3 linked regions of the Callithrix jacchus genome follow. The protein of the gene in region 2 binds, or shares a complex with, the protein of the main gene of each other region. Links are inferred from orthologs where the notes say so. Each region holds a gene or a part of one and is shown on either strand. Other genes may lie near its edges. The genes, in order: PPP4R1, PPP4R4 and PPP4C.

What was found.
Region 1: PPP4R4 (region 2) and PPP4R1 share a complex: the UniProt entries of both Homo sapiens proteins name them as parts of the PP4 complex. The link is inferred for Callithrix jacchus from reciprocal best matches to the Homo sapiens genes PPP4R4 and PPP4R1.
Region 3: PPP4R4 (region 2) and PPP4C share a complex: the UniProt entries of both Homo sapiens proteins name them as parts of the PP4 complex. The link is inferred for Callithrix jacchus from reciprocal best matches to the Homo sapiens genes PPP4R4 and PPP4C.

Annotation. Positions count from the first base shown.
Region 1 is NC_133514.1:53,315,389-53,320,104, reverse strand, and holds the start of PPP4R1 (serine/threonine-protein phosphatase 4 regulatory subunit 1), read right to left. Parts: upstream 3,374-4,716; 5' UTR 3,344-3,373; coding exon 3,181-3,343; intron 2,740-3,180; exon of another isoform or gene 2,661-2,739; coding exon of another isoform or gene 2,654-2,660; intron 2,449-2,653; coding exon 2,404-2,448; intron 1-2,403. UniProt on the Homo sapiens protein: Regulatory subunit of serine/threonine-protein phosphatase 4. May play a role in regulation of cell division in renal glomeruli. The PPP4C-PPP4R1 PP4 complex may play a role in dephosphorylation and regulation of HDAC3.
Region 2 is NC_133509.1:128,995,367-129,000,360, reverse strand, and holds the start of PPP4R4 (serine/threonine-protein phosphatase 4 regulatory subunit 4), read right to left. Parts: upstream 3,074-4,994; 5' UTR 2,898-3,073; coding exon 2,781-2,897; intron 1,322-2,780; coding exon 1,248-1,321; intron 1-1,247. UniProt on the Homo sapiens protein: Putative regulatory subunit of serine/threonine-protein phosphatase 4.
Region 3 is NC_133513.1:29,442,662-29,447,663, reverse strand, and holds the start of PPP4C (serine/threonine-protein phosphatase 4 catalytic subunit), read left to right. Parts: upstream 1-1,699; 5' UTR 1,700-1,784; intron 1,785-2,009; 5' UTR 2,010-2,073; coding exon 2,074-2,171; intron 2,172-5,002. UniProt on the Homo sapiens protein: Protein phosphatase that is involved in many processes such as microtubule organization at centrosomes, maturation of spliceosomal snRNPs, apoptosis, DNA repair, tumor necrosis factor (TNF)-alpha signaling, activation of c-Jun N-terminal kinase MAPK8, regulation of histone acetylation, DNA damage checkpoint signaling, NF-kappa-B activation and cell migration.

The sequences.
Region 1 (4,716 bases), on a different chromosome or scaffold from region 2:
AGGTGGGGAGATCGAGACCAGCCTTACCAAAATGGAAAAACCCCATCTCTACTAAAAATACAAAATTAGCCCAGCATGGTGACACATGCCTGTAATCCCCAGCTATTAGGGAGGCTAAGGCAGGAGAATCGCTTGAACCCAGGAGGCGAAGGTTGCTGTGATCTGAGACTGCACCATTGCACTTCAGCCCAAGGAAGAAGAGCGAAACTCCACCTCAAAAAAAAAAAAAAAAGTTGCAAGCATTGGCAGCATCTGTAAGTACCTTCATTCTGTAAGGTTCAACATCAGTGTTTCCTTCTCTGCTCTTCTTTTAAGCTTCCCTCGCTCTTTTCTCATAAGAGCAAGCACAATCATAATCATCACTGTTTACCAGGAATTGTTCCAAGTGCTTCACAGGCACTAACTCACATACATCCATGAAAAACTCTATGAAGTAGGTAATATTTCTTATGCCAGTTTACAAATGATAAAACCGAGGCTTAGGGAGGTTAAGTGAGTTGCCCCAGTCTGCCCAAAAAGACACTGCTAAGACGAACAGAGCAGCCTGGCTCCAGTCTATAACTATGATAGTGTACTGTACACCTAGATTCAGATTGCTAGTAAACCACTAGAGGGCATGGGTTGTGCCCATCCTTCTACAGCTCCATCACCAGTACCCGGCAGAGTCTTTAAACTCATGGTTGAATTTTTCACAGGTATGCCTTCCCCTCTACACTGTGCTTCTTGGGGGCCATGGAAGAAACTGACACTGCATTTCACCCTTCAGGAGTAAAAAGTGTTTGCTCCACACAGTCATAAATACTTCCTGAATGAATGAATCTTCTATTTACAAAGTCGAACATAAATATAAAAAGCCCTCCTCGAGATAACACAATCAAGGCCACTTCTCCAATCCTAACCCGGCAAGAGATCTGAAGTCAATAGCTGCCTTAAATAATATCTGAAACTTACTATTAGGCAGAGAAGTGGCCTAAGAGTAAACATTAAACAAAATGTTAAAGCTGCCCTTCACTACATGAGTATTGCTCCCTTTAAGAAAGCTGTTTAGAGCCACCCTACTAAAAATACAGACTTGGCAAAAGTTTGGATGCGGTTCATTTACTTTAAAGACAAATTACTCATTTCAGATAATCCATCTAAACAGCAAATCCCCCTTACTTTACTCAAAACAACCAGGAGTCTAAAAATTGAGATTACTCTGAGTAAGGGAACCACATTAGACAATGCTAAGGATTAACTACAGAGTATTTAAGAGAGTACTTTCAAACTGCAGCCATCTCTGAATTACTTACACAGGTATTACACAGTCACAGCATCCAGTAGGCGTTCCACTAAACAGACCACAATTCTACTGTGTAACCATAGTAGAATTGGTCCCTTATGTATCTCAAGATCTACGCTTACACATTTTGCCCACTCTTCATTTTTAAAACGCATCTCAAAACCGAGTGATTTTTTTGATGGATCACTATTTTGTAAGATTAGCATGAATAGAAACTATTTTAAATTAACTGCAATTTGTCACTTCTTTCAATACAAATTTACCTAATTCTTTGTCTTTCCTGTCGTGACTCAAGTTATTTTCTGAGGCTTAGAAAAGTACATATAAGAAGAAAAATTCCTTTCTAAGTATCAATTCCGTCGCCATCAGGAAACAACGTCAAAAACTTTGTGTTTTAAAAAATAAAAGGGTCAACTCTAAAAACTTCAGTACCTCAAAGGAAAGCTGCACTGTTAACACTGATGGAGGATTGGGTGATTTCTGAACATCTGCATTAAAGAAATGTGCTCTCCAAACCTAGTAATTCCTGATGAGGCCACACCTTCTAACCTTTCTGTAATCCACAAATCAAACCGGGAGTAATCTAAAAACTGCCACAAGCCAAAGTAAAATGACAGGTATGTCATCCTCAGAGGATCCAAAACGGGGTCGGGGAGCCCAGACGGCTAGCCGGGACCCAGGCTGCCCCCGGGAGCTCCTGGAGAGCGACTCCAAGGAAACACACCTCCCGCGCGAGTCTCTTCCTTCCTAAAGTGACGGGGCAAGGGGAACACCAGGGGCAGAAACACACCCCAAACCCCACTTCAAATCTTGCCCCACCTGCTTCTCCTTCCGAAACAGGCGGCCTAGCCACTGCGGAGCCCACGGGCGATTCGGGGTCGCCAGGAGAAGGAAGGGCGGAAAGCTAACTTGGGCGTTACTCGGGGCGTCTCCCTCCCCCAGCGGAACCAGGGCGCGCCGTTTCCTCACGGACGCGCGATTTTCCCCCCAAATCGCCACCCCGGCCCGCCCAGGGCCGCCCTCGCCCAGCGTCCCCTTAGTCTACCCAGGCCGCGCCGCCGCCCGCCCTCCCCGACCGCTCCCCGCGGGCTGCCGGGCCACCGCGAGGCCGGGCCACTCACATCCGTCCGCGTCCTCCTGCAGGTCCTCCTGGAGCAGCGAGAGGTCTGCGCCAAGGGGAGAGAAGAAAGGCCCGGTCAGCGCCCCGGGGCCCGGCGCGACGCCCCCGCCGCCCTCCCTCCCGCCCCGGCGGCGCCTCCCCGCGCCAGGACCCCGCGCCGGCCCCGGCCCGGCCGCCACTCAGGGCAGCAGCGGAGGACGGGTGGGCGCGGGGAGCCGCCGCCGCCGCACGGAGAACAGGGGGCCACGTACCCGCCATCTTGTGGTCGCCCCCTCCTCCGCGGCCGCCCGGGGATCCGGGGCTACATGGAGCGGCGCGAGCCGGGTAACCGGTGGACGCGCGCGGGAGGGGCGGCGGGGAGGAGGAGGGCCGGGCTGGCGGGGGCGCGCGCGCGCGGGGCGGGCCAAGGGCCCGGGCCTGCAGCGGGCGGTGCGGCTCGGGGACGCCGGGTCCCCAGGCCGCGCCTCGCCCCGCCGGCCCCTCCGCGTGGCTCCCGGGTGGCCGGTGCTCCCGCCTCCCGCTTTCCCAGCTCCCGGCCGGGCGGCGCGCCCTCACACCCTCGGCCCGAGCCGCCCTCACTCCGAGCGCTGCGGACAGGGGCGCACAAGCTGCAGCCGGCCGGGACCCTGCGGCGAGTGCCGGAACCCGGCCGGGTGGGGCCTCCCGCTGCCTGGCCGCTTTATTGGGTCACCGGCCTCGCCCACCGCCCCGCTGGCCGCAGCCTTCTCGGCGGGCGCGCCGCTGGCCGCCCGCGCCCCATCCCCAGGCCTGCACGTACGTCGTCGGCGATCCGGGGCCGGGGGCGGCTCCGAGGTCGGCGGGGCCGGGGTCCCACCTCCGTTTGGAGGAAGCGCCGCCTCCCCAACCGCCCGGAGCCCTCGCCAAGTGGCTGCTAACAAAGCCCAGGGTCCGGCTGCGGGGTGGTTGAGTGACAAAGTCATGCCTGCCCAGCAAGCTTCCTCGTGCAGCACGCTGAAGGCTGGGGCGCCGGGTTTTTACTCCCACGTCCTGCTAACCCGAGCTGACATGGAGGGTAATCCACCTGAATCAGATCCTGATTCAGCCAGTTAGTTAATGGGACTGGGACCCATGTGGAGAATGAAGCTGATATCTGCCTCGTGGGGTTATTGGCATTAAACGAAGAATGTAGGGAACCTAGCACGGTTCTTAAGGTCTAGGAGGTGCTTGGGGAAAGGCGCCTATGATTCGCTTTTGTCTTTTAAATACTTTTGGCAGCACTTGAGGTGTTCAAGTCTGTATCCCAGACTTTATTAGTCTTGTTGTTTTGCATGACTTAAGCGATTAGCTCAAGCGCCCAAGTACAAAGTGGGGCTAAACCCAGGTTTTCCGACACGATTCTACCTCCATGGCTCTGTCTCCAGCTCTACCCAAGGCCTCCAAAATGGTGGTCTCCTAAAGTGACCAACAAAACACCAAGCTGTGTCATGATGCCACTTTGGCCGTATGGTCTCTTAGAAGAGGGAATTCTAAATAGTTAATTAGCTTGTTCCTTTTTGCCTTGTAGTCTTGACCAAGGACAATGTATTGGCATTTAATGCCATTGAAGATTCGGACATTAAGAATCAGATCCTCTAAGATTCCTAAATCGGTATAATAATATGGGTTCTACACATAGCTAGTCCAAAAAAAAATCCCTATCAGATACTACTAACAAGAGAGAAAGACAGTTTATATAGTCTGTATGAAATTTCTAGGTGTAATAAAAATCAGACCCAATAACTCGAAGTGTGTATCTAATTTTCTCAACTATAAAATAATTAAAACTAAAAGCCATTTATCTTCCTCCTTTGCTGAATGTCCTGTGAATTTAGCTGACACTCTCAGAATGACAAAGGAGTTAGAAATTCACAACTATCAACAGAAATCCGTCTCTAGATTGACTCAACCCCTGAGAGTTCTGTCCTGCTGAGCTACCTCATCAGTATCTACCACTTTAGCAATTCTGGGTAAATGGGAGAAGAAAGAGTCAAATCAGCTCTTTTTTTTTCATTAAAAAAAATTTTTTTAGAGGCAGAATTTTGCCTTGTAGCCCAGGCTGGAATGCAGTGGCACAGTCATGACTCACTGTAACCTGGAAGCCCTGGGCTTGAAAGATCCTGCAATCTCAGCCTCCCAAGTAAATGGAACTAAAAGCGCAGACCATTCCACCTGGCTAATTTTTTAAATTTTTAAAAAAATTTTTGTAGGGACGTGATTCTACTATTTTGCCCAGGCAGGTCTTGAACTCCTGGTCTCGAGCAATCCTCCAGCCTTGGTCTCCCAAAGCGCCAGGATTACAGGTGTAAGCCACCAA
Region 2 (4,994 bases):
CATATACTGTTGAATTCATATACAAACAGAAGTTTTCTTTTAAGCAAATAGGTAGAAATGAGGAGAGCATGCTACCACAGATACCCCAAAGATGGGGAAAAACTACATCAACATAAAGTCTAAGATGCAGAAACATTTCTAAATGATACAATTATCAGAGGAAATGGTCTACCTGGTAAATATGCTGATATTCTGACTAAAGTTAGAACAGAAACTCATGATGCCACTTTTAGTAGGCTAAAAAAGTAATTAAGAAAATTGAAGACCTGGAGAGGGATTTTTTTTTCAAAGGATCATTCAGTGAATAACACGGGACTGGAAACACGATCTATAAACAAGAAAGGAGAACAAGAGACTTGCCAGTACCTGAAACTGGCGCTGAGCTAAAGAAACAAGACAACAAATACCCTAGGAGGTAAATAACATCAGCTTTCAAAATCTGATTCTGAAAAAAAGAGAAAGTGAAGACTAATTTGCCAAAAGGGAAAAAAATGTCGTGTAAACTAATGAAAAATTTTTACGTAAATATGCACAAAATGCTGTAGGAAATTTCTGTTTCTAAAGGATTTTCATCAATTCGTTAAACATCATTAATGTTCACTGTATTAGTTTTTAAGATGCTCAGTCTACAAGGCAATGTTTTAAATAGTTCAGAAAAATCTTGTAAATATTTGCAGTAACCATTTGCCTTAAGCAATTCTGTAGAGCCTGTGAGATGGTTTGAAATTTAAACGACAGTAGGCCCAACTAAGTTTCTAAAACCCCTCAGACAAAATAATAAAGCTTGCATAGCAAAAGTAATACAAATAGGACATCCTGAACAGCAAAAGTAACTATCACATTTGTGGATTTTTTTCCATATAGTAGATCCCATATAATGTTCATACTCTACAATGAACTTAAAACTAATCACTGTGTACTCAAGTCTCATCTAAACTTACTGAATCTTACATGAGAAGAACCAATGCCAGAAAAGAACAAAAAAAGATGAGGTTCAACTCAAACCATCTGTTCTTCCTCCTCCAAGCAACATTCTATAAATTACGTATTTTATTTGGGTTCTCAAATTCGTAAGTCCACAGCCAAATATAATTTATAATACAGTTAAGTACTATGCACACAAAAGTACTTTGTTGAAGTGGCTAAGTAAATCTGAACATAACGGGAACATACATTTCAGAAAGCATTCATCGATGCTGCCACAGGGGGAAAAAAAAGAGCAATTTTACAGAATGATTAGGAAATACCTGAGCAGATAAACAGCCCTTTCAATGTCACTGAGGTCTTCATCAACTGTCAATCTTTCTATTTCTTCTGGTGTCTGTCAAGGGTAAAATACACATTATGCACCACAAACATTGGGTCAGTCTTGCCCCCCAACCTCCCAGTGAACCTCTATGAGGATAAAAGAATGAAAAAGTTTCACAATTAAGCATTAACAATGAAAAGTAATCAAGGAGCTGAGGATACCAGGCAACATCAATCACGGAGGTCTCTAATTGGGTGGGCGAGTTTGGGGAGGGGATTGTTTTTTTCTGTTTTTCTTCTTCTAGCTTCTAGACTGCAGCTTGAGAATCGCATCGTGGCTTCAGAACCTTGGCTGAAATCCATTTCATACGCATGTTATAAAACTAATAAATACACACACTTTTTATCTCTAATACCTCAAGGCTATTTCTCCAGCAGTTTCCAACCCACGAAATGCTAAAAGGGGGGATGGATGAAGACTGCAGACGAGTGGGCATGAAAAGGACAAGATCTGGAGTGGGGGAGGGAGGAAAATAAACTCTGGGGCTGGAAGAAAAACAGAGATTTGAGATTGCGGCAGGTGGGAATTAGACCAGCTAAAGCAGCTATTAAGCGATGGTCAGAAAAGGGGTCCGTAAATTAGGTTTGCCTGCGCTAAGGGCAGGAACCTCCCGGAGGAAGATGACTCTGCGGGGTGGGGAAGCCAGTGGGGGCGGGGGGAACAAGGTGAAGGTTGACTCCCTCAAGGGGGTTGGGGAGCAGGGTCCCAGCTAGAGTCCTGGAGGGGCTGGGAGGAAAGGATGCGCGGTGACTCAGGATGGCGGCAGAGGATCGCGAGGGCTTTGAAGACCGGAACCAGGACGACACTGAGAAAGGGTGCTAGCTGGGAGGCGAGGGGAGGCCGGGCTGCCTCGAGGGCAAGGGGACCGGAGCTTGATCTGACTCGGTGGGCTAAGGGTGAGGGGATGGGACACGGGTGGTGTCTCCGGGAGAGGTGGGGGGAGGAGTAGGAGCGGTGTGGACCAAGGGGTGGGCCTGGGGCCAGAACCCGGGCGTCGTCAGCGGACCAGGGGTCGGGGAGCCCAGGAGAGGACCGGGGAGAAGTGGGCTGCGGCCTCGAGAGGCAGCTCCCGCGGGGGGGGCGGAAGGAAGGAAGGGGGCCCGCGACTGAGGACGCTGGGGCTGCCCCGAGGGCTGGGGCTCGGCCGTTCCTGGGGGTGGGACGGGGGGATTCGGACGCCTCAGGAGGGGCAAGGGCCGCGGGGCTGGCGCCCGGTCAGGGCTGCTACAGGGACCCGTCTCTTGGGGATGGGGGTCCAGACTGAGAGGACCGAGTCCGCTCTGAGGAAGGGTCCGGGAGGAGCTGGCTTAGGGCGACAGGGGCTGGAGGAGGACAGAGGGGCCGGTCTGACTGAGAGGGTCCCGGCCGCCCGGAGAAGGGGAGGGTGGCGGGGTGGGGCGAAGGCCGGCGCGGGGCCGCGCGAGGCAGGCGGCCGGACGCCCTGAGGGCAGGTCTTCTCCCCGGGGCGCACCTTGAGGCTCCGGCGGACCGGCCTCTCGATGATGGTGAGCTCCTGCAGGTCCTCCATGTAGCCGAACAGGCAGTTCTGACTGAAATCCATCGCGGCGGCCGGCGGCGGCGGATGCATGGACCGCCGGGCACCTTCGCCACCAGGGCCGGAGCGGCCCCGGGATGCCGGACGCGCTCAGCCCAGCGGCCGCCCACCAGCAGGACTTTCTCCCGCTTTCGGCCGCCGGAGCAGAACGTGAGGCTGGCGGGTGGCTGGAGCACGAGCGCAGCCCGGCGAGGGGGCGGGGCGGGCCCGGCGAGGGGGCGGGGCAAGGCGCGCGGGCGCGCTGCGGGGGCGGGGCCAGGGGCGGGTGCCCGCCACCTTGCCCGCCTCGGCCCCGCCCCCTCCCGGGCGCCGCGCACACGCGGCCGGACGCAACTGCCGAGCAGCTACGCGGCAGCTCCGCCACCCCTCTGCGCCCGCTCCCCGCCGCCCTCCTTAACCCCCCGTCCGCCCGCAACTGAGGGCGCCCCACCCCGCGGCGCGTGCGCAGAGCCTTTTGCCTCCCGCAGCCGGCAGAGGCGGGCTGGGGGCGGGGAGGCTGAGCCAATGAGAGCGGAAGCCGAGGAGAGGAAGCTGGCGGGGCTGCGGCTGCACCTACTGACTTAACTGTCCAGTTATTCCCAGACCGCCCACCCTAGCTGGCGGGGCAGCGGACCCAGAGACCGCCCCCGGCACAGCTCCAACCCTGGAGGAGGGCTGAGTGCCGCAAATAAGCAATTAGGACGTGAGGTGCCCGGCAGACGGGGGGTGACTAGCTTTTGGGCAAGGGCAGCAATCGGAAAAGGCCTCCTGGAGAAGAGTCATTTAAACTGAATCTTAGAGACCGATAAGGCTTTCCTAAGAGAAATAATTAGAGCAAGCCCGTCTGGGGTTGAAGCCTGGGTGTGTTTGGTTGGGTTTGAGAAGTGCCGTCAAAGTAGAGCTCCGGGCTCAGGCATCCAGGGCTTGGCGAGGTGGGTGGAAGAGGAAGAGGACCTAGGTCCTCGGTGGGGGAAAGCCCTGCTCTGGACAGCCACGTTGAGTCCCTTGCACTTAGTTCTGTTAACAATGGGAAGCGATGGAAGGGGGATTGGGGCGATTGTTTTGGACCTGGGGAACAAGTTATGTTGGTACCCTTCGGCTCGTCAGTCAGCAAGGCCCCTTTTTTGTTTTTATTTTCCACTTGTTCCTCCACACCTTTCTTCTTCCCACCATATGCGCCCTCTTCTGAATTAAGGTATGTCCCAGTTCATGCACTGTATACAGCCTCAAAAGATACATGGTTTGTGTCTGTTTTTAACATACATGAATGGCGTTGTGATGAGAACTCATTCTGTTCCTTGTTTTTTCTCTTAGAAGATCTATTCATGTGACACTATACAACGAGTTCATTAATTATGACCAATAATAATATTTGATTTCTGTGTCTAACATATTCTACTAACCATTTCCTCAATAACGGACAGTGAGGTCGCCAGCAGTTCCTTGCTACACAGACCACGTTGAAATGGTTGTTAGACGTGTCCCTTACAGAACATAAGAAATCGAGTCGCTGGGTCATGAGGTCCACAGCGCTTGGCTTCACTCTGTCATGTTTCCCTCCAGATGGCTTTGCATTGACACCCACACCAATGGCACATGAAGGTGGGAAGATACCCGTTTCCCATTTTATATGATAACATTTGGTATTATCTGATGTCCTAATTGATGTCAATCTAAAATCAGTAAAGTAGCATCACATTGTAATTTCGATTTGTATTTATTTTATTGGTGGTGTCATGCACTATATTTTTCCATATACTTAAGAACCATTTGGATTGTTTTCCTTCTGTGATTATCTATTTACATCCTTTACCTATTTTTCTGCTGAATTTTATTTTTTATAAAGGAATTGGAGGAGTTGAGTTTCTTGTATGTTCTAAATACTAATCTTTTGTCAGCTTTAGACAAATATTGCAAATATTTCTCTCAACCTTTCATGCATCCTGTTAGCTTGGTTTTCGCTATGTTACCATTGAGGAGAAATCCTTAGCTTTCCTTTAGCCTAATGCATCAAATTTTAGCCTTGTGGAGTGTGCTTTTTGATCTTGTTTAGGAATCTTTTCCCACCTATTAGTCGCAAAATATTCTCCTACATTTTCCCCTATTTGGCTTCATACTTTTACCTATCACAGCTCTTAACCATCTGAGGTT
Region 3 (5,002 bases), on a different chromosome or scaffold from region 2:
CAGGAGTTTGAAACCAGCCTGGCTAACATGGTGAAACCTCGTCTCTACTAAAAAGACAAAAATTAGCTGGGTGTGGTGGCAGATGCCTGTAATTCTAGCTACTCAGAAGGCTGAGGCAGGAGAATCACTTGAAGCCAGGAGGTGGAGGTTACAGTGGGCTGAAATCACGCCATTGCCCTCCAGCCTTGGGCAACAAGAGCAAGACTCCATCTTAAAAAATAAATAAATAGTAAAAACACAAAAATTAGCCGGGCATGGTGGCACATGCCTGTAATCCCAGCTACTCAGGAGGCTGAGGCAGGAGAATTGCTTGAACTTGGGAGGTGGAGATTGTAGTAAGTCGAGATTGTACCACTGCACTCCAGTCTGGGCAAAAGAGTGAGACTGTCTCGAAAAAAAAAAAAGAAAGAAAGAAAAAGCAACTAAGAAATGTTAAGGGGAACATTTTGGAATCACAGAAATCATGCTGACTGAGATACAGGCTTGGCATAGGAAAGGTGGACTCCAATTTGTTAACTTCTGAAGCTGTCAATGGCAAAGATTTCTCTGAAGGCACCGGAAGAGATTTGAATTGGGCTTCCTTCATCCATTGAACAAGTATTAAGTATTTCTATGTATTAACAAGTATTTCTAAATGCTTACCATGCCAGGCCTTATTCTAAGCACTGGGGCTTCAATATTGAAAAAGACAAAGTTGGATCCTCCAAGGATTGTGGTGTCGGATAAATAACAAAAATGTGTAACTTAAAAAAGTGTAACATAAAGTTACAAGGCCTAGTCCCAGCTCGACTTGTTTCCCTAGCTGAAATGGGGATGACCAGGCGTGGTGACTGAGGCCTGTAATCCAAGCACTTTGGGGGGCCGAAGAGGGAGGATCGCTTGAGCCCAGGAGTTCGAGATTGAAGTTAGCTATGATCGCCCCACTGGACTCCAGCCTGAGCAAGAGAGCAAGACACTATCTCTAATTTAGAAAAAAATAAAAGTTGTGGCCGGTCGCAGTGGTTCACGCGCCCATGAACCCAAAGTAATCCCAGCACTTTGGGAGGCCTAAGCGGAAGGATCACCTGAGGTCAAGAGGTTGAGACCAGCCTAACCAATGTGGAGAAACCCTGTCTCTACTAAAAATACAAAACTAGGCCGGGCATAGTGGCTCACGCCTGTAATCCAAGCACTTTGGAGGCCAAGGCGGGAGGATCACCTGAGGTCGGGAGTTCAGGACCAGCCTGACCAATATGGTGAAACCCCGTCTTAAAAAAAAAAAAGAAAACTAGCCAGGCGTGGTGGCACACATGCCTGTAATCCCAGCTACTCGGGAGGCTGAGGCAGGAGAATCGCTTGAACCCGGGAGGCGGAAGTTGCGGTGAACCTAGATCGCGCCATTGTACTCCAACCTGGGCAACAAGGGCCAAACTCCGTCTCAAAAAGAAAAAAGAAAGTTGTCTAAATTTAAACATTTTTATAAAATGAAATGGGAGGGGACTGGTCTAGGGTTTCTAACAGCCCAACATCACCTGCGGCTGAGCCCACAAACACTTCCGCTGGCCTCCAGCTGCCACCGGATTACTCCCGCTCCTTCCCGATTTCAGACTTGGGAAGTGGTGCCGGGGGCGCGAGGAGGGAGGGTGAGGAGCGTGTATGACGCCACATCCGGCGCGCGGCGGAACTGGCTTCCCTTTGCTTCCGCGGCGGGGCCGGAAGTAGAGGCGGCGGCGGCGGCGGCCCAAAGCGGAGGGAAGTCGGGAGGCAGGAAGCGCCCCATAGCCGGAACCGGAGTCGCAGCGGCGGTAATAATGCGAGACCCCTCTAGGCCACCGTCCTTAGCGCGAACCGTGGGATTCGACGGGAGTTAGTGGGGGTCCGGCCAGGCCGTGGGACGCTGGGGGGGTCCCGGGGCCGATGTGAAGGGAGGCGGGGGTGGGGGTGGGGCCGGGCTGGCCCTAGAATCCAGTTGTCCGCTCCTCGCCCCTCACGGACACTCTAATCCGCGGGCTTGTCTTGGCCTTTCCCAGGAGACCCCTGTGCGGTGCGGAGGGGGCGGTGGCCCCGACTCTGACCCGCGCCGGGGGGTGGGCCATGGCGGAGATCAGCGACCTGGACCGGCAGATCGAGCAGCTGCGTCGCTGCGAGCTCATCAAGGAGAGCGAAGTCAAGGCCCTGTGCGCTAAGGCCAGGTGAGCCCGTTGGCCCCACGGAAGGGAGGCCAAGCCGCCGCCCACGGGTTCTGGCCTGGGGCAAACCCAACTGAGAATTTTGGGCTTGCCCCTTCCTGGAAGCTTTCCCAGAGAGGAACGGGATGGGGCCACTGCGCTCGAGGAAGAGCTAGCCTGCTGGGGGAAGACAGCTGGATAAAGACACTTAAAGTATTAGAAGATGTGTTTCCAGTGGAGTAAGAGTGTTACGTAAAGTACTTAGGAAACCAAGGGAAACAAGCCCATCTGTCTGGGGGACAGAAGCTTCTGGGGGTGGGTGGCGAACTGTGAGACAGGCCTCGAATAAGGAGTTGGTAAAAGAGTCAGCAACAAAACAAAGGTTTAAGACAGGAAGGTTAAAGACGCTGTGATTTATAAAAGTCTGAATTCCAACAACCACCCATAAAGGTTGGCGTATTGTACTCATTTTACAGGTGAGGACTGTCATGTTCAAAGTTACCCACAAGTAAGGAGTGGAGTCTGAAGCCAGTTCTTAGTGTCCTGTCCTTTTTCAGGCCATAATGCAAGAAGGTGGATTTGGATCACTCACATTCAGGATGGGACCCTGAGAAATCGTAGCAAGTAAGCCAGGATAGAATTAAGCATGATATGGCCGGGCGTGGTGGCTCACGCCTATAATCCCAGCACTTTGGGAGGCCGAGGCAGGTGGATCACGAGGTCAAGAGATTGAGACCATCCTGGTCAACAAGATGAAACCCCGTCTCTACTAAAAATACAAACATTGGCTGGGCATGGTGGTGTGCACGCCTGTAGTCCCAGCTACTCGGGAGGCTGAGGCAGGAGAATTGCTTGAACCCAGGAGGCGGAGGTTGCAGTGAGCCGAGATCGTGCCATTGCACTCCAGTCTGGGTAACAACAGTGAAACTCCATCTCAAAAAAAAAAAAAAAAGAATTAAGCATGATAGGAAGGCCAGTTTAAAGTTCTGTGGGAAGTAGGATGACCTAAGGCTCTAGGTTTTGGAGTGTGAGATGGCTCTAGGTTTGAATCTGAACTCTGCCACTTACTAGTTGTGTTAGTGATCTTAAGGTGTCTTTACTTGCAAAGCAGAGTTAATAGTACTTAATAAGATGGTTGTGAAAATTCAGTGAGTTGCTGCTTAAGTTTAGCACAGTGTCTTGGTACAGCATACATGCTTGATAGTCACTAGGTGTTCTATTTCTCTTGGATGAGGGCAACGATGAGATGGGCTAAAGCCATCAGGGAAGGCTACTAAATAGAGGTAGACCTTGAAGGATGAAGATAATTTGGCTAGCTGACAGGCAGGACCAGTGAGGGAAGGGCATTCCAAGCAGGACAAGTGTAGCATTGGAGGCCCTGAGAGTGTGAGGAACAGTCAGGGGTTTAATTAATTACCTGCCTTCTCTGGGGAACTGTGTGATTGTGACTTCTACCAGGCTGGTGAATTGCGGCAGAAGAGCCCGCAGAATTACCCTATGTTTATTGAACTATACACCCACTATTGGCCTGGCCCTGTACTGGCGAAAAAACGTCTATTCGTCTCTTCCTCCCAGCAATCCTGAGAGGTTGGAATCATTTGCTCCATTTTACCGAATAGGAAACCATGACTCGTAGAGGCCTGGTGACTTGACTGAGGTCACCCACTGAGGACATGGCAGAGCTCAGTTCTGAATCTGTGGCCCCCAGGCTTTTTGCTCGGCCCCACCTCACAGACTCCCTGCAGCCAGACAGGGCCTCTGAGGGGATCGTGAGCAGGGTGGGCCTCTTTTTCACCCTGTCTGTGGCTTTTCTCTTTTGCCAGCTGAAGGAAACGTCCCTGACCAGACCTGCCCCACCGTGTTTTTAATTGTCCCCTCTCCCTCAGTCCTGATGGGCATTTTTAGGAACTTAAACCTGTTGTTGTCTGGCACTATTCTTTTCCTCTGAAGTCTTATCTCCTGCGCAGGCCTTGGATCAGTGTGGTGGCGATGGTAGATAATGCTTGGATAGCATGCTGGAGTTTGCAGAATAGGAGGAAGTTATATATTCAGTCTCCATGGCTCCTTGTAACAGCCTAAGGAGTAGGCATGACGGGGCTGAGTACTTAACCCCATTTCGTGGAAGAAGAAACAGCCTCTGAGTAGATAATGTCTTGTCCAACATCGTGCAGCTAGTTGGAGGGGAAGTTAGTTGTGCATGCAGGTTTTTGACTGTGCTCTGTGGTCACTGAGAGCCAGGCGGAGGCATTTAGATTTTCATATGGGGTGTGAGGCAGCAGAGAGCTGTGGAAGGCTAACGGGTGGAGAGTCCTGCCCAGTTGAAACTGAGTGGAGCTAGGAGGTACTAGGCCAAGGCCTGAGTTGGTCACTGTTGTCCTGGGCTCAGTTCTGAAGTGGGGCCAGCTCTGATACCTGACCAAGGCCTCCTGAGGACCCACCAGAGACCCAGGCTGAGGCAGGTAGTGTTAGGAGCACCTGCTTGCCCACAGGGCACAGACATGTAGATGAAACCCATGGAAGCACAGAGGCCTGCAGTGTCTGAGCTGAAGTTGCTGCTACTAGAAATATTAGTACAGTAGAAGAGCTGAGCTTTTGAATCAGGTGGTCTTCAGTATGGATCTGTGCCTTGTCACCTAGAAGCAGTATGACCCTGGTCAAGTCACTTTCTCATTTTTTGAAATGATAATGACAGCCAGGTGCCATGGCTCATGCCTGTAATCCTAGCATTTAGGAATGTCGAGGCAGGCAGATCACAAAGTCAGGAGATTGAGACCATCCTGGCTAACATGGTGAAACCTCGTCTCGACTAAAAATACAAAAAATTAGCAAGCGTGGTGGCACATGCCTCTAGTCTG